Linked DNA regions of Cricetulus griseus. Each later gene encodes a partner of the first gene's protein in a complex. Links are inferred from orthologs where the notes say so. Each region holds a gene or a part of one and is shown in the gene's direction. Other genes may lie near its edges. The genes, in order: Smarca4, Arid2, Smarcd3, zinc finger protein neuro-d4, Smarcb1, Smarcd2 and Dpf3.

Region 1 (4,131 bases):
TCATTATGTAACCCTGGCTGGCTTGAAACATTGTGGAAAAAGTTGACCACAATCTCACAGATTGGCCTGCTGAGATGAAGGGCAAATGCCACCAAGCCCCATTCTGAAATAAATCTTTTTTTTAAAAAAAGATTTTATTTATTAATTATGTATACAGTATTCTGCCTGCATGTATGCCCGGAGGTCAGAAAAGGGCACCAGATCCCATAATAGATGGTTGCGAGCCACCATGTTGTTGGTGGGAATTGAATTTAAGACCTCTGGAAGATCAGTCAGTGCTCTTAACCTCTGAGCCTTATCTCCAGCACCAAATAAATGTTTATTATTATTATTTTTAGAGACAGGGTTTCTCTGTGGCTTTGGCGGCTGTCCTGGAACTAGCTCTTGTAGACCAGGCTGGAACTACGGATCTTGAACTCACAGAGATCCTCCTGCCTCTGCCTCCCGAGTGCTGGGATTAAAGGTGTGGGCTATCATGACTGACAACCACCAATATTTTTCAAACTCAACCAGAGGCTTGGAATGTCTACACTTGCACCAGGATAGAGACCCTCGTTCCCTCATTTCTAGGCTAATGGCGTTCTTAAAAACTTTAAAGAAAATTTTGACTGTGGCTGTCTGTACCTCACACCCGGCGCGTTTCACTTTATTCATCCTGCTCTCCACAGATGCTGAACCAGAGGGCCGCGAGGAGCCGATGGCAACTCAGTAAATATTTGGAAAGCTACTTAATGGGCCTCAGCAAGTTCTGCAGGAAATGTGGCCAGGGCAGAGCCCTGCAGAGCAGGCAGGGCCGCGCCAGCGCCAGGATCAAAGACTTTCCCAGGCCTGCCCCTGGCCCCGCGCGCGCTCTGTCCCGTCCTGGGGCGGTGTGTGACGGTTCCTAGGCTCTACTTTCCATCCTGGGTGCTCATTTCCGAGCCTAAGGGCTTCGCTTTCATCGTTACTCTCTCCCCTCAGGACCACAGAGAGTCCCTTCCCCCAACCTCGAAGCGTCGCCGCAGTGCCTGCCCGTCTGCGCATGCTCCGCGGGTTGAGGCCCAGTTGCGTGCCTGGGACTCAGGTGTGCGCAATCGCGGAGACGCCCAGCGCTCCACAGGGGCGGTGCTTCAGGGCCTCATGCCGCCTCTGGGCCCGCCCACCTCCTCGCTACCTCAAAGGGCCGGTGCGCGTGCGCACAGCGAGCCCCTGCGCATGCGTACGGAGAGCGGAAGGGCGGGCTGGCGCGTGCACGAGGCCGGGCAGGCAGCGGAAGCGGGAGTCGTGGACTGGGTCGGGAGGGAGGGAGGCGGGCGGGCGGGCGCGCGCGTGGCGGGCGCGCGTGCTGCGTGAGTGTGAGTGTGGGGGGGGCGCCCTGCCGAGGCTGAGCGGGCGGGCGCGCGCGCAAGGCATTCCCCTCGCTTGGCAGCGGCGGCGACGGCTTCTTTGTTTCCTGAGGAGAAGCGAGACGCCCACTCTGTCCCCGACCCCTCGTGGAGGGTTGGGGGCGGCGCCAGGGAAGCTACGGTGCCGGTACCTCCGGGTAAGGAACGGAGACTCCCGGGTGGAGACGAGGCGCCCGGGGCTTGGGGAAGACGGTTTGAATGAAGCCGAGGCGCCGGGAGGGGGAGGGGGACAGCCCGGCGACCCGAGCGGGGTCGGGGTACGGCGGCGCCCGAGGGTCAAGAAAGCCCTGCGCGCGGCTCAGACCGCAGTGCAGCGAGACCGCGGCCGCTTGCAGGCTCCGTGGCCGCCGAGGCGGGTGGCCATGGGCCTCGTGGAGGCCGCGCGCGCGTTCTCGTGAGATCTCGGGACAAAGCTCCCTCCCTTCGGCGTTCCAGAGATCCGTATTCCCCCCCACACACACTTTAATTTCTGTGATCCCAACTTTGAACAATAGCTGGGTGTCGTGGGCCTTTCTGGGTGCGACCCTAATGCCCTGTGGTCGGGCGGCGGGAACAATATTTTACCTCCAGTATTGATGTCCAGTGTGACTTGGACGCAGTCATCCCCCCTCTTCGGTATCAAGGCGTCACTCTTTTTGTTGTTGTTGATAAATTTTATTACTGCTCATCTTGAAGGAAAAGTAAGAATTCCTTACATTCCTTGCAGGTAGTGACTTTGAAACGTTTACCTAAAAAGTGAAAGATGGCAGGGAACCTTTGCTCACAGCGGCATTGTTTTTTTCTCTCGAGTCCCTTGGCCCTTCCCAGTTTCCCAGATAGGGCTTTTTATTGTAAAACATCGGAGGCATCGGTTTGGTTCCCTCCCCATTTCCAGGGACTCCAGGTGCTTCTTGGGAATTGGAAACAAGTTTAGTTCGAATTGACAGATGGATTTGAGTTTGATGCCCACTTCAGGCTGTCAGCTAGCTGTGTGGCCTTAGGCAAAGTCGCTTAATCTTTCCGAACGCCTTGGTTTCCTCCTTTGTACAAGGGAACTACGAATTTCATAGATAGGGCTGGGAGACACTGGGCATCATCATCATCATTATTGTGATTTTGGAGACAGGATCCCATAACCAAGGTTGACTTCCAACTGCTTATGTAGCCCAGGCTCGCCTTGAATTCCTCATATTCCAGCCTCCACCCCACAAGTGCTGGGATAAGAGGTGTTCAGCCAGGCTTCCTGGGCTGTTGTTGACTGGTCCAGCAGATAGTTGAATCCCTACTGTGTGTCACATGTCTTGTAGGGGAATGGACTGTAAATGTTGGCAAGGCTCCTTGGCCTGTAAGTATATTAATTCATTTAAAGGGGCTTATTTTGTTTTGACTTTTTTTTTTTTTTTTCTTTTTCGAGGCGGGGTTTCTCTGTGTAACAGCTCTGGGTGTCCTGGAACTCATTCAGTAGACCAAGCTGGCCTCGAACTCACAAAGATCCATCCGCCTGAGCCTGACGAGTGCTGGAATTAAAGGCCTGTGCCACCACCTGTGAATTTTTTTTTAATTAAAGGTTTTCATTATTTATTAGTGTGTGAAGGTCAGAGGACAACTTGTCTGTTCTCCCCTCCCGCCTTGTGGATTCCTGGAATTGAGCTCAGGTCGACAGTTTTAGGGCAGGTGTCTTTCTTTTTTCCTTCCTTCCTTCCTTCCTTCCTTCCTTCCTTCCTTCCTTCCTTCCTTCCCCTTTCTTCTTCCCTCCCTCTCTTTCTTTCTTTTCCTGAGACAGGGTTTCTCTGTGTAGCTTTGGAGGTTGTCCTGGAACTCACTCTGTAGACCAGGCTGGTCCTGAACTCAGAGATCCACCTGTCTCTGCCTCCCAAGTGCTGGGATTAAAGGTTTGTGGCACCACCACTTGGCCAGCAGGTGCCTTTTTTTACTTGCTGAGCCATTTCTCCTCTTAAGCCTCTAAGTGTGTTTGATTTTTGTGGTATTGGGGCTCAAACTTGACCCTGTACGTGCTAGGCAAGTGTTATACACTGAGCCACCAACCCAGCTAGCATTATTTTCCTTCCTTCCTTCCTTCCTTCCTTCCTTCCTTCCTTCCTTCCTTCATTTCTTTCTTCCCATCTATGTTTGATGAATATGTGTCTTCAGTTTTTTTTGCAAGCCTTATTTTATGAATGTGGGTTTTTTGTTTGTTTTCTCTCCTTTTTTGTTAGTTTTGGGTGTTGTTGGGCTTGGAGCCCTGGGTTTTGTGCATGTTAAACATGAGCTATATTCCCAATCCTTTGGCCTTCCATTTAACCCTTACAACCTGCTCTGTGGAAGGACAAAATGGTTGTACAAGGCAGCAGTGGTGGGCATAAGTCCTGGGAGAGTGCATGGAGAAGGTACCTTTTTTTCAAAATAAGGGAGGATGTGTCCCTCTACACACCCATGTGCTGAGGATGGATCAGTGCCATCACCACTATTGCTCTGTCTTTTCTATAACATGGCAAGTTGGAAGCAGACAGTAGTGGGAGGAGAGGAGAGTTCATCCCTTGGGAGGGATGAACTTTGATGTGAGGTGATTGGTAACAAAATCCAAAGCAATAATCATTTGTTGCTGCTGTTGGGCTTTGAACTTTTCAGGCCGTTGCTTTCCTAGCCCCAAATGTCACTACTTCAAAAGTGATGAAAAAGTCGCTGATGAAGTCTGGGGTCCTGGTTTGGTGGTTTGTTTGTGGTGGGTGAAGAGTGTTACTTCTTTTTTTGAACTTAAAATGTTTTT
Region 2 (4,039 bases), on another chromosome or scaffold:
CTGTTGGCATCAACTCCGGTTCGGTGCACGAAACCGACCGAGGGGCGAGACGAATTCAGAGCCTTACTCTCATCTCCACAAAAGTAGGGCAGACAATTCACACCGTGTGTGCTCCACAGTTTGTCAAAATGAGTTTTTTGGTCACACCGTGGAAAATGTGCTCCTCGGGCCCCAGTCTGGTAGCATAAAGCCGAGAGGCCGATCCCTCCCGCCCTAAACATTTGCAGAGGCTGCGAGAGGACTTTCCCCGGGAGGCGAGGGCTGCGCCGGGGCGAGCCGCTGGCCCTCGGTGCGGCGGGAGGCCCGGCGGGGGGACACGGAGGCCGCTCTGCCACAGCCCCGGCCGCCGGGGACGCGCACATCGCCTCCACCCCTCACCCTGGAAGAACCGGTAGTGGCCGTTTCCCCGCGCCGCCCCCGCCCCCCTTTCCGCCCGCTTTGTGTGCGTGTGAAATGTGCTGCACATTGCAGATGAACCCTAAGCCGGGCGAGCCGGAGTCTATTGTTCCCCGCGAGGAGCAGCCGCGACCGTGTGGAGCCAGGCGCAGTGCCGCGGCCGGCCCTCGGGGGGCGCTGTGCGGCGCTGTCGTGCGAGCGGCCCGGCCGTGGCGGCGGCGGCTGAGAGCGAGACTGGCGGCCAGGCAGGCAGGCCGGCGCGGCGGCGCGCAGCGGCTCGGCTGCCGCCGGAGCCTGTGCCGGGGGACGCCGGGCCGCCGTGGCCACCGCCGTCTCCGCCGCCGCGCGCGTGAATGTGTGCGAGGCCCCGCGGAGCCGCGCGCCGGATCCACGCTGTCACCCCGCTCTCCACAAGCCACCACACAGACCTCCCCCTCCCACGCGGCCCCGCCTGCCCCGGCCCCCGCGCTGCCGCCGCCCGCCGCCGCGCGCCGCCGCCGCCGCCGAAACTCCCAGGCCTGCGGCCACCCGGGCCCCTCGCCTCCGCTCGCCCGGCCCCGGCGCCTCGTGCGCCCCCCGGCCGCAGCACCATGTTGAATCGCGTCCCGGGCCGAGCCGCCAGGGCCGGCGGCGCTGAGAGGCGGCCAGAGCCGGGCCGCGGGGGCGGCGAGGCAGGGGGGGCGCTCGCCCCGCGGCTCCGCGCCCGGCCGGCGCCCGTCGCCTTGCCCCTCTAGTTTCGCTCCCGTTTCTTTAAACTTTTTTAGAAATTCCCCTCCCTCCGGCCCTGCGCTCCCCCTGGCCTCCCGCTCCCTCCTTCCCTCCTCTCGCCTCCTCCCCCTCCTCCTCCCTCCCTGCGCCGCCGCCGCCGCCGCCGCCGCCGCGCCGCCGCCGCCACCGCCGGCCCATGACTGAGCCCCGCCACCGGCGGCCGAGGAATGGGCTCCGGGCGCTGGTAGGGAGCGCGGGGAGCGGGGGCCGCGTCTGAAGCGCGATCTGGCTTTTCGGAAGCCCTTCCTTTTGGCAAAATAATGGCAAACTCGACGGGGAAGGCGCCTCCGGACGAGCGGAGGAAGGGACTGGCTTTCCTGGACGAGCTGCGGCAGTTCCACCACAGCAGAGGGTGAGAGCAGGACCCGGGGGGGCGAGCGCCGGGGCGAGCCGGGGCGAACGGGGCCCCGCGGCGGGCGCGGGGGGTCCCGGTGACAAGTGCGGGGCTTTCTGTCGCCCGCAGGTCGCCGTTTAAGAAGATCCCTGCGGTGGGTGGGAAGGAGCTGGATCTTCACGGGCTCTACACCAGAGTCACTACTTTAGGCGGATTCGCGAAGGTGAGTGGAAGTTTTAATTTGTATTTCCCTCTCGCTGGCCTGCTCCGAAAAGTCTGCTCCGGCCCGGGAGCGGGCGCCCCGGGGGCCGGGGAGGGGGGGGGCGACCGGCGGGGCACACGGCGTTCTCGGCGCTCGCAGCCGGCGGTGGCACGGAGGCGGCCCGGCGGCGGCAGGGGCTGTTTTTCGGCCTGGTGGCTCGCTCGCTCGCTCGCGTGCGCGCGGCGGGGCGCGGGGCTGGGCGGGCTGGGCGGGCGGCCCGGCGGCCCGGCGGCCGGGAAAGCGCCCCCGGCCCGGTGTCCGGCCGGCCCCCGCGGGGTCTGAGCGGCGCGGCGGGGGAGCGCGGGCGAGCAGGGTGCCCGCCCGCCGAACCCCGCGCCCGCCCGCGCCCGCTTGCCCGCTCGCTCGCCGCCTGCGAGTCAGCGCCGCCGCCGCGCCGCCGCCGCCGCCGCCGCTGCCGCTCTAGCACAGGCGGAGACACAGAGACACACAGACTCTGAGCAGTTTTCGTGCAACTCAAAATTAGCGCGGGCAGGTTTAACATCGATAATCGGCTGCGAAATGATCCCGGCGGCCGGGGGCACAGGCTCGGCCCGCTCGCCCTGGCTTTCCACAGCTAACAAAAGAAAGCAGGACCTGTCTGCAAATAGCCATCTTAGGCTTCAAGGCTAGGCAGAAGCTGTAGGCCTCAAAGAAGGGCCTATGGAGATGGAGAGATCTGGGAGAGGGATCGGAGTCGGGCCCCGGCCCCGGCCCCCCCAGAGCTCGCGGACGTCGCTGTCCGGAGCAGTATTGATCCTTTTGAACTTTTTTTTTCTTCTTCTTTAGTGTAAACGGACCGCGTTGAGATTTAAAAGGGGGCGACAGAGGGACTTGCGATTGGTTATTGTCCGGGCTTCAAAAACAAAACAAACCCACCAATCCTCTCCCCCCCAAACAAAACAAGTGCTGCTAAATGCAGGTCTCTCTGATGAAAACCTAGTGATTCAGGCGGCCCTGGCTTAGTAACTCTTGTGGACAGACCCCAGACACCCACTGATACCTTAGGTATCTGCAGATCTCTGCAGAATGGGAATTTAGCTCCCAAGTTAGGGTAGGTTTTTCTTGGATTGGGCACTTTCAGACAAGTGTGCCTGTGTTTTTAACAGGTTTCTGAGAAGAATCAGTGGGGAGAAATTGTTGAAGAGTTCAACTTTCCCAGAAGTTGTTCTAACGCTGCCTTTGCTTTAAAACAGTATTACTTGCGGTGAGTAGTGGTGACTTTTCCACAGTATTTGGAAATGAGGGACTTAAGGGCGATTAAACAACAACAAAATTTATGCTCTAAACAATTTCCAACCCCTTGGTAATTTCAGTCTGAGAAGCATTGACTGTCAAAAAAGGGAGATGATAGGAGGCTGAAGTTTTCCTCACCTTAAAACACGGCCATTTACATTTTCCATACAAAGTCATTACAGGTGACAACCCATGTCCTGTCTTGTAAACATTCTTTTGTGACATTGTTATTGACTGCTTGATAGTCACTGAGGGCCAGAAAAGATGATGCTTAGTAAAAGTCTTAAGATACTTAATGAAACTTTGTAACCTGTGGGAAGATTTGTCTTTCTTCTTTTTCTTCTTTGGAAACTCCTTAACCCTCTACAATTCTGGTTTTCGGAATTTCTTTTTTTAAAGGAAAAGTATTGGAACTGTTATTCAGTGCGTTTTCAATGGAATATTTTTACATAAATAATACAATGTAGATACATTGGTTGACCAGGGTTACTTTTTTGGACTCTTGTTACTGAATTTCTGAGAAATTTGAAAATATTCAGCATCTTTAGGAAAATGGGGGTGGTGTGAAGCCAGGTACTATGGTTGGGATTTTCTTCCATTTTCCCTTGCATTTTGACTGCTTACTCAAAAAAGTAAACTTCTTACTGAGTTGGTATATGCTTTAGTCTAGATAATGTATTTTGTGACTTTTAGGATTTTTTTTTCCTCCTAGATTTCCTTTTATAGATCCTTTCATATTGTACTTTGTTTTGGAGTCGGTATTTGTATTTGATTACCCAGTGTTCTTAGTAATTTAAAATTAAAATAATGATCTCAATAGTTCCTTCTAATAAGTATTGGTAATGGTGATATCATAAGATAGCCTTTATTTCATTTTTGTAAAATGTAGCTTCTGTATAATTTGAGTCTTGTATTGCTCCAAATGCACTAGTTACTCTGTATAGCGCTCAGGATTCTGACATAGGAAACAGGGTAATTGCACAGGTGTACTTCCTATTGGCTGCCTTAGATTGACTTCAGACTTGACGCTGAAGAGTTCACAGATC
Region 3 (4,259 bases), on another chromosome or scaffold:
GACAGTGGGCGCCTGAAAGGGCAATGACAGCTAGGCACACTAGCAGGACCTGCAGGAAACTAAGGTGCTGGCCCAAAAGACTCCTGGGAGAACATTCCCTCTGTTGCTTGTCCTGGCCAATGAAGACATTCTGCAGGGCCAAAGGTTAGGCCCCCTCCGTGCAATGCTGGGTCCTGAGGGCTCAAATTTTAATGTGTTCCCACAAATTCCCTCAGGCCTTGTCCCTCCCTCATCCTAGTTCTGACAGCTGCCGTCCCAGGAAGCCCATAAGTGTGACCCTTAGTTGTCCCAAAGCCTGCGGGCTCCTCCTCCAGAAGGTGGGAACAGGCGTGGCTTCTGGCATGGGCGGGGCCTGAGCTCAGCCTAGGGATCTCCTTTCTGTTCTCCCTCCACTCGGGGGTCGGCCAGTTCTCTCCCTACGGTCCTTTCCGGGGCTCCCTCATCCTCTCCCACTCCACACTCCTGCTTTCTCTTCGGTCCTGGAGCGGACCTCAGCCCCCCAGCCCCCCTGGGTCTCCATGCCAGAGCCACCAAACCTTGTTTGCTCACTCTTTCCTCCTTACCCACCCAAGTACGCATCCCGGCTCGGCACGATTCCCCACACTCACTCTTCCTGTGCTCAGGAGCCCAGTCCATGTCCCCTTTTCGGAAAGACTTTCCCCGGTTGCCCTCACTTTCCCACACAGAGGCAAACAAAGACTCACGAGCCCAGAAATAGCCTCCCTCCGAGCTGGAAGGCACAGGCCGTGTCCTGCCCCGCGCGCACGCACGCTCGCACGCTCGCACGCGCAGGCACGGCGGCTCCCGTGGAGGGAGCACACCGGTGCCCGCACATAAACATCCACACCCTCGGCCGCTGCGCCGAGCCACAAAAGGGTGCAGACACGCGGAGCGCGAGGCACGGGCACACCCACGGCGGCCGGCCCTGGACGGCTGCAAGGCCCGCTCCCGGCTCGCCCGCCCCCCCGCCCCCGGATTCCTTCCAGCAAATGTTTCCCTACTTGGCCTGCCCGGTCCCTGGGGAAAGGGCCTCAGAAATGCTGCAGGAGCCACTTGGGGGAAGAAAGTTGGAACTGCCCGTTCTCTGCCTGGCCCTGCCGGCGAATTCCCCAACCGAGAAACTGTTTGTGGAGAAAGAAGGCAGGGTGGCGGGCAAGCCCCCCCCCGTCCCCTCCCTAGACTGTCCCTCCCCGTGCCGCCACCGGCGAGCCTCCGGCGGCCTGGGCGCTCGCTGCCCGCCTCGCAGCCGCTGGGCGGACCGGCCTGGCTCGCCGCGTCTCTGCGCCGTTTGGACCACGCGGGTGCACGGGAGGGCTGCTGTGTCCCCGCGCGTCGCAGGCAGACCCCGGGCCGCCGGACTATTTCTGTCTTATCAGTGCAGGAATGCGGCAGCCGCGGCGGCGGCGGCGGGCGGCGGCGGCGGGCGGGCGGCGGCGGCTTGGGCCGTGGGCCGTCAGGGCAGCCCTGAAGGGGCCCCCTCCCCACTCCGCTCGAGTAGAAGTGTGAGAGAGCCCAGCAGGACTCAGAGGGGAGAGTTGGAGGAAAAAAAGGCAGAAAAGGGAAAGAAAGAGGAAGAGAGAGAGAGTGAGAGGAGCCGCTGAGCCCACCCCGATGGCCGCGGACGAAGTTGCCGGAGGGGCGCGCAAAGCCACGAAAAGCAAACTTTTTGAGTTTCTGGTCCATGGGGTGGTGAGTGGGGGAAAGTTAGCGGGGGAGGGCGAGCGAGCTGGCTCGGGCTGAATGGAGGGATGATCGGGAAGGGCCGCCGGCGCGCTCCCGCTCTCCCACCCCTTTGGTTGGGGGGCGCACGGTCACGGCCCAACCCTGGGACCTTGCCGGCGCCCTGGCATCCGAACACGTCGCCAAGCGGTCGGCTGGGGATGGGCGCGCGGCGGCAGGGAAGAGAGGCGTCGGCTTGGGCTCTTGTCAGGGGCAAGGGGTGGGATGTGGGCACCGTGCCCCCCAAGAGGTGGGTCCCCTCTGTAGCTGACACGTCGCCCGTTCTTTTTTACTGGTGGGCCCAGGTGTTACCCCTGCCCTGGGGTGGGGGTGGGGTGGCGACTGGAACACACAACTAGGGTTGGGCTGCCTGTTGTCCTGTTCATCCACAGGGGCAGTGTCACTCTGACTGGGTCTGAGGAACTAGGAGCAGGTGACCCTGGAGGCACCTGAGAGCAAAAGCTCCCTGGCTGAGCAACCTCTGCAGCCTAGCAGGAGGGTCCTGAGGACTTGGCCCTGCTGTCAGAGCTAAGAGAGGCCTACTTAAGAGATGGACCCCAAGTTAAAGGGGTCAGGGGATCCCTTGGCAGGCTCAGCCACCAGAAGTTGATGACCTTAATACCTCAAAGGTGTGAAGGGATGGAGTTGGGGACATGAGGCCTAGAGATCAAAGGGTTAACACTATAGTGTCCTGCCACAGACATGTGAAGGCACACGAGGGACCTGAGGGTTCCAGGGACCTGAGGAGGGAGATGACTGGGTTGAGTCAGTGGAGAGCCTGGCTGTAAGGCGCTCCAGGCTTGGGGATATGTGATAGAGGGAAAAATCAGTCAAATTTACTATGGCCAAATTTGGTTGTGACTCCAAGAAGCACCTCCTCAGTGAAAGAGGCAAGGGCCCCCAAAACCTTGACCTCTTGTGATTGTGGTGCTGGTGGCAGAGCCCCTGGAAGCCCCTTCCTCTCAGTAAACCAGACAGTGTGGGTGGCCTTGATGAGTAGCAGGGCAGCTGATAGGGAGGAGGGCTTCCCTGTGGCAGCCTGCCCTCTAGCCACAGGGATCTCTGGGGTGCAGTTCCCAAGGCAGTCCTGTGGGTTAGTGGAGTTACCAGTCCTAACCTAGCTGCCTGGGGGAGTTGCTTTACAGAGTCCCATTCAGTGAAGAGGAGGCTGCCCATGTGGATTTGAATATGGCCAACTTGGAGGGTCAGTCCTTGAGTGATCAAGGCCCCCTTATTAGTAGTGGGGAATGACTAGGCCTGGCCTTCCACCCTGGTGGCACTGGTGGTATGAGTGACAGAGTCAGGTGGAATGGGGGAGGCAAACTCAGGAACTGGCCGGTTACACTACAGAAGAGATGGCCAGGGACAGCTGCTGGTAGAGGGTGGTAGAGGGTGGAGACCTTTGGTCTGAGCAGTCGGGGTTTCTTGGTTCTGGGGTGAGATGAGGAGTATTTTGTATTTGTTTATTGTGTATTGAGGCAGGGTCTCCTGTAGCCTAGGCCTCGAACTCACTATATAAGGGAAGATGGTCTTGCTCTTTCTGTCCCCACCTTGAGATTGGGATTACAAGTGCAGTTTCTTTGGTGCTGGGAATCGAACCCTGGGCTTCACATGTATTGGGCAAGCACTACACCAAGCTACATCCCTAGCCTGAGATGAGGGTGTGTAAATAGTAGGGTCTGCACCCCCACATCACCTCCTTGTTCCTGGTTAGCCCCTAAACCTCAACTCCCTTTCCAGGCCTGGACAAGTGGACTCTGGAACACCCCGCTTGCGTTTACACCTCTTCTGTTTTGATTGACTGCCCAGAGGTGGTGGCTGGGGAAATACAACCTGCCTCATTTCCCTCCAATTTGTACCCTTACTAGGATGGGGTGGGTACTGGGTTCTCTCTCTGATGTAGGCAGATGGGAGGGAGATGTGGCTTCCTTCAACCATCCCTGCCCTCTGGCAGCCCACTTCTAGTCCAGTTCCCCACTTGCCACTCGGAAAAGCTCAGACCCTCGGGTGCCTTTGCCCAGCCTCTTGTATCACCTTGGGAGAAATGAAATTAAGGAGGCAGACTAAGTCAGAGACCTGGAGTCAGCTGAAGGGGTTATTTGAACACCAAGGGTCCAAACCAGGGGTGCTGAAAGGGAGATGGGGGCTCACATACAAAGCCCCAGAAGTGGGCTGTAGAAAGCAGGAAAGCAGCGGGGAGCAAGGCCCGTCAAGGTGCTGCCTTTGTCGGGATGAACGGGGTGACCTTGGCGAGGTCGCTTTTTCTCTTTGAGCCCCAGTTGCCCCATCTGTCAATTGGGGATAAAAAAGACCGGCTCTGGCTGGCTTGCAGAAGACCGTGCCTGCCGATGTGAACATCCTTTGAAAGGTTGAAAGGCGCCATTAATATTCATTTTTGCGGTACCTTGCACGGCTCCGAGGCTCGGCTATGCCCTGGGCAATTGCCTGGCTTCAGTTAGCTTCCTGCAAGGAGCCGGCGAGCCCCCTCCTCCAGAGCCACGCAGATTCCCGCGCCCCCGCCCCTCCCACAATCACTCCCA
Region 4 (4,193 bases), on another chromosome or scaffold:
TGAATCAGATGCCCTACCTACGCTGGGGAAGGGGTGGGTCAAGGTCTTGAATGACTTGGGGACATTTGTGGCAGGGAGTTAAGATTGGGGGTGTGTGTAGTTCAGGAAATCTTGAGTCTTAGCCCGGTGGGTGGAACACCCCCTGCTGGACAACGGGGTATTTGTATTAACACTTGATATGCTAATTTATGCAGCCACTCAAATCAGAGTGCTAAGTTATTCCCCAGAGGGTGTGTGTGTGTGTGTGTGTGTGTGTGTGTGTGTGAGAGAGAGAGAGAGAGAGAGAGAGAGAGAGAGAGAGAGAGAGAGAGAGAGAGAGGGAGAGAGAGAGACTCGGTAGGTCAGCTCTTCGCTGGGGTTCTGTTAGGAGGATAGGGTGTGTGGATGCCGAGGGAGAAGAGTGGAAGGGACCAGGTGAATGAATCTTTCGTCTTTCAGTGCTACCTTCAGACAGCAGTCAGGGGCAGAGAACAGGTAAGGTTTCTCCTCCAGATCTCAAAGTCCTCGTCTGGAAAATAAGGACAGTAATAGTTTAGTCTGGGGAGAGCTGTGTTAAGCAAATGTTAAGTAACCACTCAACGTATATTTGTTGGACACCTACTAGGGCGGGCAGGCATTATTCTTTCTAGAGCGGCGTAACCACTTTATGCCTTGGTACGTGTCAGATCCTCTTTGTAGATGTCTTCTCTGTGGAATAAATGGATTTATTAGTACTTGCCAGGTACTATTTCTTCATGTGGGACTGCGATTGAACCCATGGGCTCTCGATCACTTTCTTTTACCAGAACCACCCCCAAGCCCTGCTATGTATCTTTGAAAACACTTTACAGCGACTGGTGTGGTTTCACACACCTCAGGGAGGCAGAGGCAGGAGAACTATAGTTTGAGGCCAGCTTGAGCTGGACAGTAGGATTCTGTCACGAAAGCAGCCACTTACCCTGTCACTCATCTACTCTTCAGTCCGATGAGGTGTTATAACTATTTTCTAAAGGAGGAGACAGGCCCAGAAAGGTTAAGTCATGTGCCCGAGGTCCTATCAGCGAGGATCTGAGCCCGGGAAGGATGACGACAGTCCTGTAGTCCTGCGGAGGAGTGGACCCGGGTGACCGACCGCGACAGTCAGCCCTGGGACACGATGGGTGCTCCAGAGTTTGGAGGGCATGGTGGGAGAGGTGGCGTCAACTCCGGCATGCTGGTGACACGGCTGGGTGGGCACTGGCGAGGTCTGGGCGCCTGTGGCGGGGCGTGAGTGAAGGTGGGGTGTGTGAGAGCCTGCGAGCCGAGCGTGGCTGTGTGTAAGCGGCCACGTGCGCGTGTGTGCGTGCATGCGTCTGTGCACGTGGGACCGGGGACTGCGTGATCCTCCATCCCCCGGTGCCCCGGGTTAGAGGACCCGCGGGGGGACTACCACTCCCGGCATGGCCCGGGCGCCCCGCCCCGCCGTCCTGATTGGCTGAGATCCGCGTGCTCCCGCCCCCCGGGAATGAATGGATGGGCGGCCTCAGCGCCCGCCCGACCGCTGGGAGGACCGACCCGGCAGGGACCTGCTGGGGGCAGGACCCGGGGAGCAAGATGGCCACGGTCATCCCCGGCCCCCTGAGGTGGTGCGGGCGGGCGAGCGGGCGAGCGGGGCGAGTGGGAGGCGGGGGCGGGTCTGCGCGGCCGCGCGCGCGCGCGTGTGCGTGTCTCTGTGTGTGTGTGTGTGTGTGTGTGTGTGTGTGTGTGTGTGTGTGTGTGTGTGGCCGCTGGGGGTGGGGCCGGTGGGGTGTCAGGGGGCTGTCACCGTGTGCGAGCGAGCGAGCGGGGGTGCGAGCGTGTGTGACTGCGGGTGTCTGGCAAGGGTGATGTCCGGGGCGGGTGCAGGGCGTGGGGGAGGGGTCCCCCAGGGCTTCCAGGGGACGGGGGTCATGTCCCCTCCCGGGGATGCCACGGTCTGCAAGAGGGGGAAGCGGCGTAGGGAACCTGAGTACACGCGAGTCGAGCCCACGCTACCTTTGTCTTGGGGCGTGGAGTGTGTTGTGCGACTTGTGCGTTGCTTTTTTGTTTTGTTTTCTGGCCGGATGTGTGGGTATGTGCGTATGGTTGTCTCTTTTATTCTGCACGGTGCCCATCTGGGCATTCGGGTCCCCTCCGAGTGTGTGCGCGCGCGTCTGCTGAGGCTGCACCCTCGAGGCTGCGTCTTTGCACGGGGAGGTGTGAGGCTGGGTGCGAGCACGGGCGGACCTGGCTGTCCCTCCGTCTCCGAGGCGTGTACCTGTGCTTGGGAATGCGCTTCGAGTTTGGGGTCGCGTTTCCCCCCGGGTGTGAGCGTGCGCGCGTGTGACTGCGTGGTCTCTTTGTATCGTGTGTTTGACACCCCGTGTCTTTGGAGAGAGGTGTGTGGGCAAGCCGCTTTGGACACCGTGCGACTGTTGCGACGTTTGCGCGTAGTACGTTGCCACGCCGGGGGGCTTTGTGGACAATGTGTTTATCTTGGGGGTCTCTGGATGCGTGGCGTGCAGAGGTAGTTTTATGGCCTGTTTCTGACCCCAGTCTGTGTGTCTGTGTGTCTGTGTGTGTGTGAATGTGTTTGCTTCTCCTTTGTGAATTTTGGGATATGTTTCCCTTTGTGTGTGAATCCCGTGTGGCCATGTGCGATTTGTTTGTTTTGGGTGTTTGGCTACGTTCGTGTGTGCATGGGTCCCGCTGCTGCTGCTGCTGCTGCTGCTGCGTTTCGCTCTGTGAACACACTTCTTACTTAACCTGAGACATAATCAAGTTCCAGGTAGCGGCCTCCCAGCCAGCCAGCCAGCCAGCCAGCACCCCGCCCCGCCCCCGGGTCCCCAGGGATGGGAGGAGGAGGAGGGGGAGGGGGCCCTGGCTGGTTCGCCCTTTGCGGACCGGCGGCGGCGGGAACGGGAGGCCCGGGGCGTGGGGGGGGGGGTGGTGGTGGAGGGTGCTGGACCTCCCTGGCTGACAGCCGCTCGCCCGCTGCTCGCCCGCCCCCCTCAGCCTCGGCGAGGACTTCTACCGGGAGGCCATCGAGCACTGCCGCAGCTACAACGCGCGCCTGTGCGCCGAGCGCAGCCTGCGCCTGCCCTTTCTCGACTCGCAGACCGGCGTGGCCCAGAACAACTGCTACATCTGGATGGAGAAGACCCACCGCGGGCCTGGTACCCGCCGCGAGGCTGGGGCGGGGCGGGGCCTGCGTCCCGGGGCCGCACGCTCACTGCCGCCCTCCCTCCCTCTCCCTCCATCCCTCCCTCTCCTCCAGGTCTGGCCCCAGGACAGATCTACACTTACCCCGCCCGCTGTTGGAGGAAGAAACGGAGACTCAACATCCTGGAGGACCCCAGGCTGCGGCCCTGCGAGTACAAGATCGGTGGGTGGAGCTGTGGCCCCTGCGCCCGCTGTGGCCCCCATCGAAGTCCTCAGCCCCACTGCTGTCAGCCAGAATGTAGCCTTTATTTCCCCTGGGTGTCTCCACAACAGGCTATCTGTGTCGTCGTCGTCCCCCCCCTCCCCGTGTCTTGAGTTACTTCCTTTGAGTTTCTGAGCTTCCAGATGTACCTGCTGTGTGGGCCGTGGCGAGCAGGTGTACGGAGGACATCCTTTTATCTGTGTCTAGATAGATAACTGTGTGCGCTCCCCTGTGAGCCGGGGTACGCCCATGTCCCGCTGTGTTTCTTTCTGTGGGTGCTGGAGGGCATCTGGCTATCTCCCTGTGTGTTTGGATGACTTAGTAGTGTTTCTCAACCTGTGTTTTGGGGTTGCGTATCCGGTATCCTGTATACCAGGCATTTACATTACGATTCATAAGGGTAGCAAAATTAAAGTTATGAAGTAGCCACGAAATAATTTTGTGGTTGGGGGGTCATTACAACATGAGGAACTGTATTAAAGGGTCACAGCGTTGGGAAAGTTGAGAACCACTGAGTTGAGTGTCTCATTGTAACTGTTGCTGAGTGTTTTAGAATGCCTGTTTCTTTCTAGGTGTTTCCAAGTGTGTGTGTGTGTGTGTGTGTGTGTGTGTGTGTGTGTGTGTGCTGGGACTGTGTATATCTACCTCTTCTGGGGGTATATATGGTTCCACCAGAATGTCCTGCTGGGGTCCTGATGCTGAGAAATTGCTATGGAGATTTTCGGCTTGTTTCTGTGTTAGGTGCTTCTTGAGGTGTGTGCTAGTTCATAGACTGACTGGAGTTAGTGCTTTC
Region 5 (3,500 bases), on another chromosome or scaffold:
CACCGTGTCCCCTGGTTGTCCCCACTGTGTGACACTGCAGACATCATTTCTGAAGTCAGTGAGGCCATGGATCTTTATAAAAATCATAGGACTAGCTTTTCATGAAGGGTGTCCTTAAGTGTTGCTACAAGCAAACTAAGCTATTACTCGGGGGAAGTAGTGATTTCTAAGATAGTCCAGGGATTACTAATATAGGGCTTTTTAGACTTGAGAAAATTCTTTTGGTGTCTCTGGTTTGAGTTTTGTTACTAAATAAAGCAACACAGGCAGCGGGACAAATTATCTTGCATCTGTCTAAAATTAAAGACATTTTGGTGTTTATTGCCTTGTAAAAATATCAAAGTCTGCTTCTTAAGATGAAAGGAGGTCACAGGAGTCTCAGATTTCAGAAAAGTGCCAAGAAATCTTTCGTCCTGATCGACATCACAAGCTCCTTACTGAGGTCTGGGATCCTCCCCAATAGACATCTGGTCAGATCTTTTGGAACTTGGTTCTGATGTCAGGATACACAGATTCCAGCCAGATGTGCACTGCTGTTGAACCCTTGATGTCAGCAAAATGTGTTTTATGGCTGCTGACAGGCTGGCGTCTGGAGGCCTTGTATCTCATGTACTTGATCCAGCAAATCCTCTCTGCCAGAGCCCTTCGGCATAGTGATCGATGGTCTGACCCTCATAATGAGCCTTCTTGCTTTACTCATAGGTGGGAAACTACCTCCGTATGTTCCGAGGTTCTCTGTACAAGAGATATCCCTCACTCTGGAGGCGACTAGCCACTGTGGAAGAGAGGAAGAAAATAGTTGCATCGTCACATGGTAAAAAAACAAAACCTAACACTAAGGGTGCGTCTTCACGAGGGTTTGTAAACCTGTTTCAAAACCACTCGCTTATGTCATGAAGATAAAACGTTTTCACTCCAGTGTCTTCATTGCAGCCTGACCTTAGTTCGGTAGGGAGCATCCCAGGGGCAGGCCACCCTGCCAGCGCACACATGGTTCAGTTGAGAGTAGCTCAGCGAGTCTTTGGTGCTCCACTGTTGTGTGTTCCTGGCTGGGCCAGTGGGTATGTGAGGGGCCAGGGCCAGGGCCAGGGTAGTAGCAGGTGCTGTGAAGACATGTTGGTCTCAAAACGTTTTAGGAATGCTGTGATTTGCTACCATTTGCTGTGAGTGTGTTGCCGTAGTCGTCCTTCTTGCAGCCCTAGTAGCAGACGGTGGCCCCAGCCCTCACTTTCTTCTGGGGCTTTCACCGCTTCCCTCCCAGAGCACATTTATCTCATAATACTTCATCTTGGCAACCAGTATGCTAAGCTCATGTGCATGTACCCATTCCACGTGGCCTGCCCTGTGCCTGGGGCTTGCTAGGTGAGCCACCTGGTGCTAGTGAAACTAGTGCAAGGTCTGGGCTGTGGCAACTCTGTGCAGAGTGAAGATGCTCTTCATACATTTTGGGGCCTCTAGGAAGAACATTTGGGTATGGGCGCAACATGCCATTTGGCCGGTGGCAAAACTGCTTTCCACTCAGCAGAGGCACCCTGTAGAGAGCTGCCCTGGGCCTGGGTGCATGTGTCCGTGCATGCATGCGTGCTCATGAGCACTCTGTAGTCTGTCTTGTCAGTAGGTGCTAATGTGCTAATGTAGTTGTCTGTTGTGGTGTATTGGGGTTCTTTTAATGCAGGAGCCAGAGCTGCTTTTTATCCACTTCTGAAAGAATCCACTATTGCCTGAAACAGTTTCCTTTGTGTCCCCTCTGCCAAAAGTGGAATATAGTCACTAGCATGGTGGCTACCTAGCTTTGCCTGCCCTTCCTTGAGTTCCCATGAAGCCTTAGTGGTCTTGCTACCATGTGCCTTCCTTTCCTATAACCAAGTGAGTCCTCCAGCAAAGCTAAGCAGGTCCTGCAGATAAGTAGCAGCGCTTGACAGAGGTTCCCTAGAACTGGGCGGGGAGGGGGGGGGAGGCATATCACGTGGTGTGAAGTTCTGTCTTGTTTTCCAGACAACCACATCTGGCCTGACTCAGGGATGGTAACTTTTGCTTGGTGTGAAATAGTTCTTTCCAACTCTCTGGGCTCTTGTTTTAAAAGAAGAGGATTCATCTTTCATTCTGTCTCCCATCTTGCTTTGTGTTTTAGATTGTGGTGGTGTCAGACCTCTTCCCACTGGGGTGTTACTCTGAAGCCTTCCTGGCAGCCCCTAAGCTGCAGCTACCCCCAAACATGTCTGCCCCAGAGCTAGTGCTCTTAAGAGGCAAATTCGTCCAAATCCATCCCACCAGAGGCTTTCTCCACTGAGATGTCTAGGTAAAGCCTCAGTCCGGATTGCCCTTTTGGAAGAGGCTAGCACTCAGCAGTACTGAGTTTGACACCTTGCTTTCCCCACCTCCTGCATGTGAGGACCTCGTGTGCTGTATCAAGTTGGTTGTCAGCTTGTTCACACTGCTGCAGGATGACCACAGTGGGGTTTCTCTGCTTACAGATCATGGGTACACCACCCTCGCCACCAGCGTGACGCTACTGAAAGCCTCGGAGGTAGAAGAGATTCTGGATGGCAACGATGAGAAATACAAGGCTGTGTCCATCAGCACAGAGCCCCCCACCTACCTCAGGTATGCCTTCCTAATCTCAGTTTGCTCCAGAGACATGTGGGGGTATGTGTGTGTGGGGGTCTCATCCTGAAGAACAGGGTAAAGTGAAAGTTGCTCACTCACTATGTTTATAATTGCCTGACCTTGGTTTCTAAGTTTCTTCTGTATCTTTGACATTCTTAACAAACATAGGCCAAGTCTTGAGTTCTGGAATGTTCTGAATCTGGGACTCATTTGCCCCCCCCCAAAAAAAATTGTGACTCAGATAAACTTCCAAAAGAAACAATAGATTTGAATACACACAGGTAGAACTTTGAAAAAACCTTTTCCTTCTTTCTTTTTTGAGACAGTTCTCATGTGGCCCAGGCTGGTCTTAAAATTTGCGGTGTAGCTAAGTATGGTGTTAAAGTTAGAATCCTCCTGCCTCTACCTCCTCGATGCTTTGATTACAAGTGTGTGCCATCATGCCTAATTATAATAGTGCTGGGGATGGTACCCAGGACTTTGTGCACACGAGCAGCGCTCTACCAACTGAACCATCTCCTCCTCAGGTCCAAACAGGTGTTTTTGGTTTTCTTTTCTTTTTTTTTTTTTTTTTTTTTTGATCAGGGTTTTTCTGTGGCCCTGGCTGTCCTAGAACTCACTCTGTAGAGCAGGCTGGCCTTGAACTCACTGGTGCTAGGATTGAAGGTGTGCATCATCACCACCCAGTCAAGACAGGGTTTCTCTATGTAGCCCTGGCTGTCCTGGAGCTCACTCTGTAGACCTTCCTGGCCTCGAGCTCAGATGTCTGCCTGCCTCTGCCGCTGGAGTTGTCTTTTAAAAATAACTTTTAAAAGTTGTATTATTGTAGGCTGGAGAGATTGCACGTGTGTGACATGCCATGCGTGTGGAGGTCAGGGGACAGCTTTGTAGAA
Region 6 (4,076 bases), on another chromosome or scaffold:
AGTCCAGGGCTTAATGCATGCTTGGCAAGTGCACTCTAAACCTGAGCTACATCCCCCAACCCAAATCTGAGGATTTTTCAGTGCTCATTAAAGTTAAGCAGCACCGATTCTGTACTGTGGGGAGGAGATCCCACATTAGCTGAGGGTAGGCGGTCCATTCCGTAGCCGAAACCAGTGGTTTCTGGAAAGGCCAGGAACTCTTCAAAACTAAGTCCTCTATGAACTGGAGAAAACTTGCTTCACTGCCTGGAGTTTTCTCGGCATGCAAAACTCCTTCACCTAAACTCACTTTCTGTGGGCCGACGGTGGCGGTGCGCGCCTGTGATTCGGCATTTGGTAGGCAGGGGCAGGGAGACTGCGGCGCGTCACAGCCAGTCTGGTCTACAAGGGGAGTTGCACAGCCTGGGCTGTCACTCAAGACGCTTGTCTCGGAAAACAAACAAAACAAAACCTCCGCACCGGGCCAAGTCAAACTTTTACCCAGCGGGGTCACGTCTGGAGTCACGCATGTCCCTGGCGGTTTCTTGGGGTGTGTGTGGGGCGGGGTGCTGGCGACGGCAGACAGCGCCCTATCCCACCGGCTCCCACCCTCGGGCGCCGGCGAGGGCTCTGGGTGAGCGGCGGCCGTCGCCTGGCTTTAGGGCTGACCCGGAAGGACAGTTTTGGAGGCGTGCCCCCCCCCGGCACCTCGCGGAGGGAGCCGCACTTGAGGAGCGAGCGGCCAGCACCTAACCGCGGAGGACCTAGGACGGTGACCTTTGAGCTCTGACCCCGCGCCTTTCCCAGCGCTTCCGCGTGCAGCTTCCGCTCCGGCTCCTCCGGGAAGAGGCGGTCCCAAAGGGCGGGGCTCTGTGGCCGTCAGTTATGGGCGGTGCCTGCTTGAGGCGGGTCTCGCGAGGGGCGGGATTTGAAGAGATAGTCTCGATTGGGCTGCTGGGAAGGGGCGGGGCCGGGCGCAGGCCCGGGTTGGGCGGGGCCGGGAGCGCGTAACCGCCTCTGGGTAACTGGACTCGGGCGGCGAAACCTCCGGGGGCCGGGAGAGGCCGGCGGGCTTGCGGCACATCCCGGATCTGGAGTCTCCCCGGCAGGAGCGGAGTCAGTGGGGCCGCGGGTCCTAAAGCGGGTCGGTCTGTGAAGAACTTGCGAACTTGGAATAGAAAACCCCGGAACCCGGCAGTAAAATCGCGAAGTCCCGGATCGCGGAACGCAGCTCGCGGAGCGGACTCCACACAGAGCCCGGAGGCCGGATCGCTGCACCGCGGGACGGGACAGAGCGATGTCGGGCCGTGGCGCGGGCGGGTTCCCGTTGCCCCCGCTAAGCCCCGGCGGCGGCGCCGTTGCCGCGGCACTGGGTGCACCTCCTCCGCCTGCGGGACCCGGCATGCTGCCCAACCCGGCGCTCAGAGGCCCGGGGCCTTCTGGAGGCATGGGGGTCCCGGCGGCCGCCGCCTTCCGCCCCATGGGCCCCGCGGGCCCCGCGGCGCAGTACCAGGTGAGGCGGGCGGGCGGGCGGGCGGGCGCCGCCGCGAGGGCGCCTGCTGGGTCTCCCCGGGGCCGCAGGTGAGGGCGGGCAGGAGTCGTCCCTGGACGGGCGGCTCCGGGGACGCTGCAGGAGGAACTGCCGCGAGCTGGTGGCGCGCCAGGCCGGGGTCCCTCGGCTAGAGAGAGAGGGGCAGGCAGGGTCGGGGAAAGGGTGAGCGCGGCTCTCCGGTGGAGCGCTCGAGCAGTTACAAGAGTCCCGGGGCTCCGCGGCTCACGGCTTCTGAGTAACTGAGAGATGTAGGCTCCGTGGGATCTGGAGAATTGTGTGCAATCGGGTTGAAAGAGTCTAAAGCAGGTCCCGGAGTCGGGGTCCGGGGGTGACCCGAGACGTGAGAAAATTTTGGAAGAGAAAACAGGGTTATCCTTTCGTTGGCCTCGGTCCCACTGCAACTCTGCCTTGGCTTTTTTTTTTTCCCTAGTTGGGAACTGGCAGAGCGTTAGTGTCTGAGATGGCTCCCAGCTGCTAGTTGAGGGGGAAGGAAGCCTGGCTTCCTACGCCATGGGGGGGACTAAGGAGAGGGGGCCCAGATGGCTCCAGGTTAGATTAGTGGCAGCGGCGGCCAGGTCTGAAGAAGGCCCAGTCCCAGTAACAGACTAGTCCAGATACGGTCTAGCATGGGCTTTCCATTTAGTGCCAGCGTCCAGTAGTTACGTTTGGAGGAGCAGAGAGGCTTTGTGGAATACTGCTAGGCGGGGGCTGCAGGAGTCTGCAGCAGCATCGGCTGCTTCAGAGGGCACTGCCCTGAGCCTTCTAGCTGGAAAAAGAGCAGTCAGTCTCAGGTTGCAGCTTCAAAGGCCCGTTGAGGAACGGGGGTGCGACTCTGTGGTCAGTGCATTGTGAACTCAGCCTGACCCGGCATGTGGGGCTCCTTCCCCAATGCTCTGGTGCAAGTTGCTCCAGGATGTTTTGAGGATTTTATGTTTTACTTAATGCAGTTTGGTGCTGAGCATGGAACCCAGGCAAGGCTTTGCACATGGCAGACAATTGCTATATCAGAGAGCTGCACCCCATTTCCCAGAGTGCCTGGGGATTGTGTTCATCCTTTCCCAGTATCCTTGCCCCTTTTTTTTTTTTTTTTTTTTTGATACAGGGTCTCATGTAGCCCAGGCTGGCTGTGTAGCCAAAAAAGCTGGCCTTGAACTCCTCCTGCCTCTCACGTGCTGGGATTACAGCCATGCACCACCACACCCAACCTCTTTGCTTTTACTTGTTCTCCGGGTTCTTGACAAGACCATAGGTATCTCAGCCTGTGAGCCACAGCTTCCTTGTTACTAATGTCTGAAGGTGTGCACTATAGTTTGCTCTGTCCTCTGCTGGTGTCTGTAGGTAGAGTAGAGGCCTCAGAAATAGATCCTCATGGAGTGCATATTCTACCAGGAATCAGATTTCTAAGGAGGTACCTAACTGGGAGTGGGGGTGGGGATAGTGACCCCCCCCAACTCTTCATTTCTCCTCTCTCAAAAGAAAATGAAGAATTTGGCTATGAACAGAGATAGACTTGGTCCCAAGGATACTAGTTGGGGTTTATCTTTCCCATGTTGCTTTCTTTGGAGATTCATGGGCCTAGTGTATCACTGATGTCAGTGATTTTAGTAGCCTTTGGCCCTGTTTGCTTGGAACTGATCTGGAAGCTTCCTATAGGCACTGAGGAGATCTGTCTCTTTGCTTTTTTTTTTTTTGTCTGACTTTCTGTGTAGTCCTGGCTGCCCCAACTCACTATGTAGACCAGTTTCTTTGGCATGCAGCTGATAGAAAATCTGCTCTTGGGAAAGCCCCTGTGAGGATAGGAAGATGGATTCCTCCATATTTTGTAAAGAGTAGCGCCTTGGGGTCTATGTTGAGGCCAAGCTGGCCAGCTGAATACCTGTGGCTACTAGGTGTGAGAAAGAAGATGGCCTTAAGTCTGGACATCCCATACCAACCAGGTTGACATCACCACCTTCTTCTTTCTCATTTCTTCCCCTCCTCTTCTTTCTCTGGGGAAGGGCAGAGGAAAAGGTGGGGTAAAGAGAATCCAGTTAACACTGGTTGACTTTGAAGGAGAAACTGCTTGCTTCTTTTCATGTCCAGGTACCTAACTTCAAAAGGGCTTGGGGTCTGAAGACAAAGGGGCTCCTCCTGGTTAGAGCCCTTGGGGGTGAGCGAGGATTTGCATGCTCAAGCTGGGCATATTGGGGAGCTTGTTGAAACAAAAGTAATGGCCCAGCTACCTACCTCTAGAGGGTTATTCTATCTAGTCTTGGAGTACAGTCAGCTGAAGGGCTTAACACCATAATTAAAAACAAAACAAAGAGACCTACTGTGCATTATTGCTGAGTTCACTCAGCTCAGAGTTTAGAATACTTTCTGTTCATAGGGTCAGGGTATGTTCTCCAAATGAGGCTCTTAGGCCCAGGCAGCCATCTGAGGACCAGAGCTACAGGCTTTAGGTCAGAGCAGAACATGCTTACTTGAGCCCTAGATTCCTACCCAGAGATGGCAGAGTCAGGCCTAGCCTTCTCCATTGTCTCCTTGGTGGTTACAGAATCAAGTC
Region 7 (3,931 bases), on another chromosome or scaffold:
CGCCATCCATTTGGCCGTATTAAACAGCTATGGGTCGGTAGCCAGGCTTCTACATGCTAACGACGCCTCTAAGTGCTTTCGCTCACTCTGAGCCTCCCTCCCTGTTCTCCGTGGAAGCCTGAGTTCGCAGAAGTCTCTCAGTTTCTTCAAGTGTTCGCCAGATTCTGAGCAGCAACAGACTCGGGAAGCCTCGAGTCACGTCGCAACATTGGCTTGAGAATTCTTTTTGCGTCCTATATTAGTCCAGAAAGGTGACGCCGGTATCCGCAGCGCCGTTCCCCGAGGGAACTCCAGCAACACCCACCTCAGGCTCTAACAATTTTGCTTCCTTAGCTGCGTTTGCTAAAGTTGCCTCAAATCTTCCCTATCCTTTTGCCAAAAGAGCGCCAGGTCTCCCTTTGCTCTCCAGCTGGCCCGTGTCAGATCATTGTGAATCGCTGACAGCGGAGAACGGTGTGGTCGTAGGGGACAGCGCAGAGTGACCACCCCTGAATTACGTAACAAAAAACCGTAGCAGCAGCAGAGGGCGAGCCTGACGCTGAGACATTCCAGGGGGAAGGGAGTTGCTGTCCTGGACTAGCCAGTTCCCAGAAACCGACAGGGGAAGGTGGCTGAGATAAAGAAAACACTTCGGGGACAAGAATATTCAACAGCCTCAGAACCTACAGCATTATTAACAATCGGTGAAACACGAGTAGCAATTTCTTGCAGGGAATTGCAGCCTTCCAACTTTTGCACTGAAATACGGGAGGTGTACCCGGAGCGGGGGTGGGGTGGGGAGGTAAAGACGGTGATATATGAAGTCCAAAGCTAATGAATGGGATTTAATGGTTTTGATGGCCCTATGTAAATATTCCTGCTCAGGAGCGCAAACTCTCTGCAGTTATTTAGTAAAGTAGGGGCTCAAACTAAGAGAGAATTCTCTCCCATGTGTGTCCACTAGCCCCAATCAGCAAGGGCGCTACTAACACTGTACTGCCCCTTTAAGACCTGCTCGCTCTCGGGCTCTACAAAAGGGAGTGACCTCTGGGCTTTGACAGCTCCCCTAATAACTACCACCACGTAGGCCCCGCCTACCTGGCGACCAGCCGCGGCGATTGGCCTGCAGGCCGGTATCCCGTGCTCTGATTGGCCTGCCGCTTCCCCTGAGCGAACCTTTAGAACTCTGAGACAGACAATATTCTGTTACATTGTAGCAAAATGGCGACTGTCATTCACAACCCCCTGAAAGCGTAAGTAAGACTAAAAAATGTACATATTCCGCGTGGTTTCAATATGAAAAAAAGGCGCCTTGCGGAGCGCAGCCGGCGCCCGGCTCTTGCAGACGCCTCCCGCTGCGCCCGGGCTCCTCTTTTCTTCTGCTCTTACTTCTTCATCTTTTTTTTTTTTTTTTCCTCCCAGCGCGCAGAAATGTCAGGAGATGCAATTAACAAAAAGAAAATTGTTACATCTGTGTTCTGCTTAATTGACTGACCCGGACCGGGAGGGAGCCCGGAGCGGCGGCGGCGGCTCCGGAGCTGCGGGGGTCTAGAGCAGCTCGGGCTGCACGGTCCCCGGAGTCCTCTGCCTCTCCCGGCACCTCGCGGGGCTGGCCGAGCCCGGTCGGAGCGCGGGGCAGGGGCCGCGTCGTGCGCTCCGCTGAGCCCTGAGCTTCAAGCCCGAGGCTTCCCAGCTCCGCGGCTCGTCGGTCCGCCCGGGCGGGCTGATCAACCGCTGCAGCTGCGGAGTTTGCTGGGCGTTCGCTCTGCCTTCCGAGCTCTCGCAGGGAGTTTGTGCAAACCTTCCGGAGTTGGGAGGACAGCGCGCGGAGCGGCGGGTCTCGGGAGTCCTGGGGCCCAGGTGCTAGCCCCGGGCTTTTCCACTCGAGCAGCCGGGGGATCAGGGAGGCGCTCCGGGCGGTCACCGGTGTGTCTGCGTATTTGTGGGCGAACTGGCGGTAGTAAATTAACGACCTGGATTAACTTGGGGGTTGATGTGGAGGCAGGGAAGCTGCAGGTCTTATGAATGGTGTGTTTGCCTGCTTTGGGTGAAAAGCCGAGGTAGGCGGAGGCGGTTCGGGGCTCTGGCGACAACGAGGGGCAGGTGCCTCCGGGAGACTTTGAGCGGACAGAGGGGGGCGGGCTGCGCGAGGATTCGCGGGGGCCGGTCCCCGGTCGGAGCTGCCTGCCTGCCTGCCTGCCTTCCTTCCTTCCTTCCTTCCTTCCTTCCTTCCTTCCTTCCTTCCTTCCTCCCTCCTTCCTCCCTTCCCTTCCTTCCTTCCCTTCCTTCCCTTTCTTCCTTCCCTTCCCTCCAGTCGGTGAACTGTGAATGTGAAGCCGCCAAGTCCGCGAGCGATCGTGGAGCCGCGGGTGGCCTCGGAAAACTAGTGTGGCTCTCAAGGGGCGCTATTGGCAGGGATGTTGGCAGAGGGTGGATCCCTGGGAATTGCTGCGCGGTGTGGGCTCCGGTCGGTGCCGGTTGTACTAGGACTTCCCCGCCCGGTGAAAGCCTCTGGGAGTAGGAGGGTGCGCGTGGGTGTTTCGTGCCAATTCTTCCCAATTTGTGGCGGTGGTCGACCCTGGCTCTTTTAACTGCCTGCTACAGCGTCCTAACCCGTGGAGTCAAAAACACGGTTCGCTTTGGAGAGCAGCAAGGCAGTGCGGGGGGGATTCCTAGTGCCAAGAAACGCCTAGGGAGAACCCGCTGCGTTTGCACCAGCTAGCAACCAGGAATAGGGCAGGGATGTCCCAGATCTCGGAGTTTCCACGAGATAATGCGGTAAAGAAGACACTGGAGGCTGAGCCTGATGCGAGTTCCTGGCTCCAGTTCTCGCTCGGAAGCTCAGCTACTTTGCACTCGCGACAGCATTTCACCTAAGAGAGAAAATGTTTTATGGCAGAATAAATGGGCGTAACTTCGCCGCGTCCTCGCCGACTCGCGCCGCCACACCGCTGATGCCAGGAGTTTCTCCAGAACCCACACAGCTGATTTGCAATTTCCTCATTTCCAGCCGAAATCACGTAGTCGAGCTGATGCTGCTTGGTAAACTGAAGTCTGAGAGTTCTATTTACTATGTGTATGGGGTTCCTTATTGGGAAAGCGGTCTCCTTGATGCCCGGGAGCGGGCTTACGCTCGGGCGCGCGCAGGAGCTCCACGCTCCAGGGTTCCCCAGATCGTTTCACTTTTTTTTTTTTTTTTTTTTTGACATAGAAGCCTGCGAGTGTAGGGGTAATGGGGGAAGGGACAGAGCAGCAAGAAGGTGGCCAATCTCGGTAGTGAAATTAGTTCTGAATTACACGTGTACTCCTTAATAATTGGAAACACCGTGGGATGCATTTGTAACTCCGTCTTGGCACACACACGTACACGGGAGCTCACACACATCACCACTGCCTGCCTTTCCTAGGAAGGAGTCAAGCCGTCACTTTGTAATTATCCGCCCCCTTTTGCATCCCATCCTCTCCCCCAACCCCTAGGGCTAAGGGTGTAAACAATAACCCCAACGGCCAAGGGTTTTGCAGCCTGGATATTTTAAAAACTCCGCACGCAGGAGCACACGCGTCGTTACTGGGAGACCGACGTCATCTGCTTCTATTATTATTATTATTATTTTTAAAAACTTGTTTAATAAAACATCTTGTATATTTCATTTGTTTTTAGAAGTTGCTGTTCAGGAAACAAAACACACGTGAATAAATTATGCATGGGCTAAATTAGAACAAAGCGCAGCGACACAGCAAGCCGAAGGGATGGATGGGGGCGCAGGGAGGAGGAGCAATGAGAATGGTTTGGAGAGCTTATGTGTTTATCCTTGTGTGCCCCTCCTGACAATGAACCGGAGCTCCAAACCGCATTAGCATTTTCTCCGTGTGCGTGCAGTCTCTCTCGTCTTAAAAAGGCAACACCACGGACGCCCCCTACAGAAACTGGTCACACAAAGATTTCCTCTTG

What was found.
Region 2: Smarca4 (region 1) and Arid2 share a complex: the UniProt entries of both Homo sapiens proteins name them as parts of the SWI/SNF-B (PBAF) chromatin remodeling complex. The link is inferred for Cricetulus griseus from reciprocal best matches to the Homo sapiens genes SMARCA4 and ARID2.
Region 3: Smarca4 (region 1) and Smarcd3 share a complex: the UniProt entries of both Homo sapiens proteins name them as parts of the BAF complex. The link is inferred for Cricetulus griseus from reciprocal best matches to the Homo sapiens genes SMARCA4 and SMARCD3.
Region 4: Smarca4 (region 1) and zinc finger protein neuro-d4 share a complex: the UniProt entries of both Homo sapiens proteins name them as parts of the neuron-specific chromatin remodeling complex. The link is inferred for Cricetulus griseus from reciprocal best matches to the Homo sapiens genes SMARCA4 and DPF1.
Region 5: Smarca4 (region 1) and Smarcb1 share a complex: the UniProt entries of both Homo sapiens proteins name them as parts of the BAF complex. The link is inferred for Cricetulus griseus from reciprocal best matches to the Homo sapiens genes SMARCA4 and SMARCB1.
Region 6: Smarca4 (region 1) and Smarcd2 share a complex: the UniProt entries of both Homo sapiens proteins name them as parts of the BAF complex. The link is inferred for Cricetulus griseus from reciprocal best matches to the Homo sapiens genes SMARCA4 and SMARCD2.
Region 7: Smarca4 (region 1) and Dpf3 share a complex: the UniProt entries of both Homo sapiens proteins name them as parts of the BAF complex. The link is inferred for Cricetulus griseus from reciprocal best matches to the Homo sapiens genes SMARCA4 and DPF3.

The regions. Positions count from the first base shown.
Region 1 is NC_048597.1:134,494,216-134,498,346, forward strand, and holds the start of Smarca4 (transcription activator BRG1), read left to right. Parts: upstream 1-1,331; 5' UTR 1,332-1,522; intron 1,523-4,131. UniProt on the Homo sapiens protein: ATPase involved in transcriptional activation and repression of select genes by chromatin remodeling (alteration of DNA-nucleosome topology).
Region 2 is NC_048595.1:392,709,361-392,713,399, forward strand, and holds the start of Arid2 (AT-rich interactive domain-containing protein 2), read left to right. Parts: upstream 1-1,239; 5' UTR 1,240-1,424; coding exon 1,425-1,516; intron 1,517-1,627; coding exon 1,628-1,721; intron 1,722-2,866; coding exon 2,867-2,964; intron 2,965-4,039. UniProt on the Homo sapiens protein: Involved in transcriptional activation and repression of select genes by chromatin remodeling (alteration of DNA-nucleosome topology). Required for the stability of the SWI/SNF chromatin remodeling complex SWI/SNF-B (PBAF).
Region 3 is NC_048601.1:97,911,644-97,915,902, forward strand, and holds the start of Smarcd3 (SWI/SNF-related matrix-associated actin-dependent regulator of chromatin subfamily D member 3), read left to right. Parts: upstream 1-1,459; 5' UTR 1,460-1,611; coding exon 1,612-1,689; intron 1,690-4,259. UniProt on the Homo sapiens protein: Involved in transcriptional activation and repression of select genes by chromatin remodeling (alteration of DNA-nucleosome topology).
Region 4 is NC_048602.1:6,521,092-6,525,284, reverse strand, and holds the start of zinc finger protein neuro-d4, read left to right. Parts: upstream 1-1,393; 5' UTR 1,394-1,491; coding exon 1,492-1,604; intron 1,605-1,903; exon of another isoform or gene 1,904-2,764; intron 2,765-2,991; coding exon 2,992-3,152; intron 3,153-3,253; coding exon 3,254-3,361; intron 3,362-4,193. UniProt on the Homo sapiens protein: May have an important role in developing neurons by participating in regulation of cell survival, possibly as a neurospecific transcription factor. Belongs to the neuron-specific chromatin remodeling complex (nBAF complex).
Region 5 is NW_023276806.1:262,704,482-262,707,981, forward strand, and holds part of Smarcb1 (SWI/SNF-related matrix-associated actin-dependent regulator of chromatin subfamily B member 1), read left to right. Parts: intron 1-702; coding exon 703-841; intron 842-2,474; coding exon 2,475-2,604; intron 2,605-3,500.
Region 6 is NC_048600.1:119,219,188-119,223,263, reverse strand, and holds the start of Smarcd2 (SWI/SNF-related matrix-associated actin-dependent regulator of chromatin subfamily D member 2), read left to right. Parts: upstream 1-1,276; coding exon 1,277-1,492; intron 1,493-4,076. UniProt on the Homo sapiens protein: Involved in transcriptional activation and repression of select genes by chromatin remodeling (alteration of DNA-nucleosome topology).
Region 7 is NC_048598.1:120,235,777-120,239,707, forward strand, and holds the start of Dpf3 (zinc finger protein DPF3), read left to right. Parts: upstream 1-1,131; 5' UTR 1,132-1,200; coding exon 1,201-1,232; intron 1,233-3,931. UniProt on the Homo sapiens protein: Belongs to the neuron-specific chromatin remodeling complex (nBAF complex).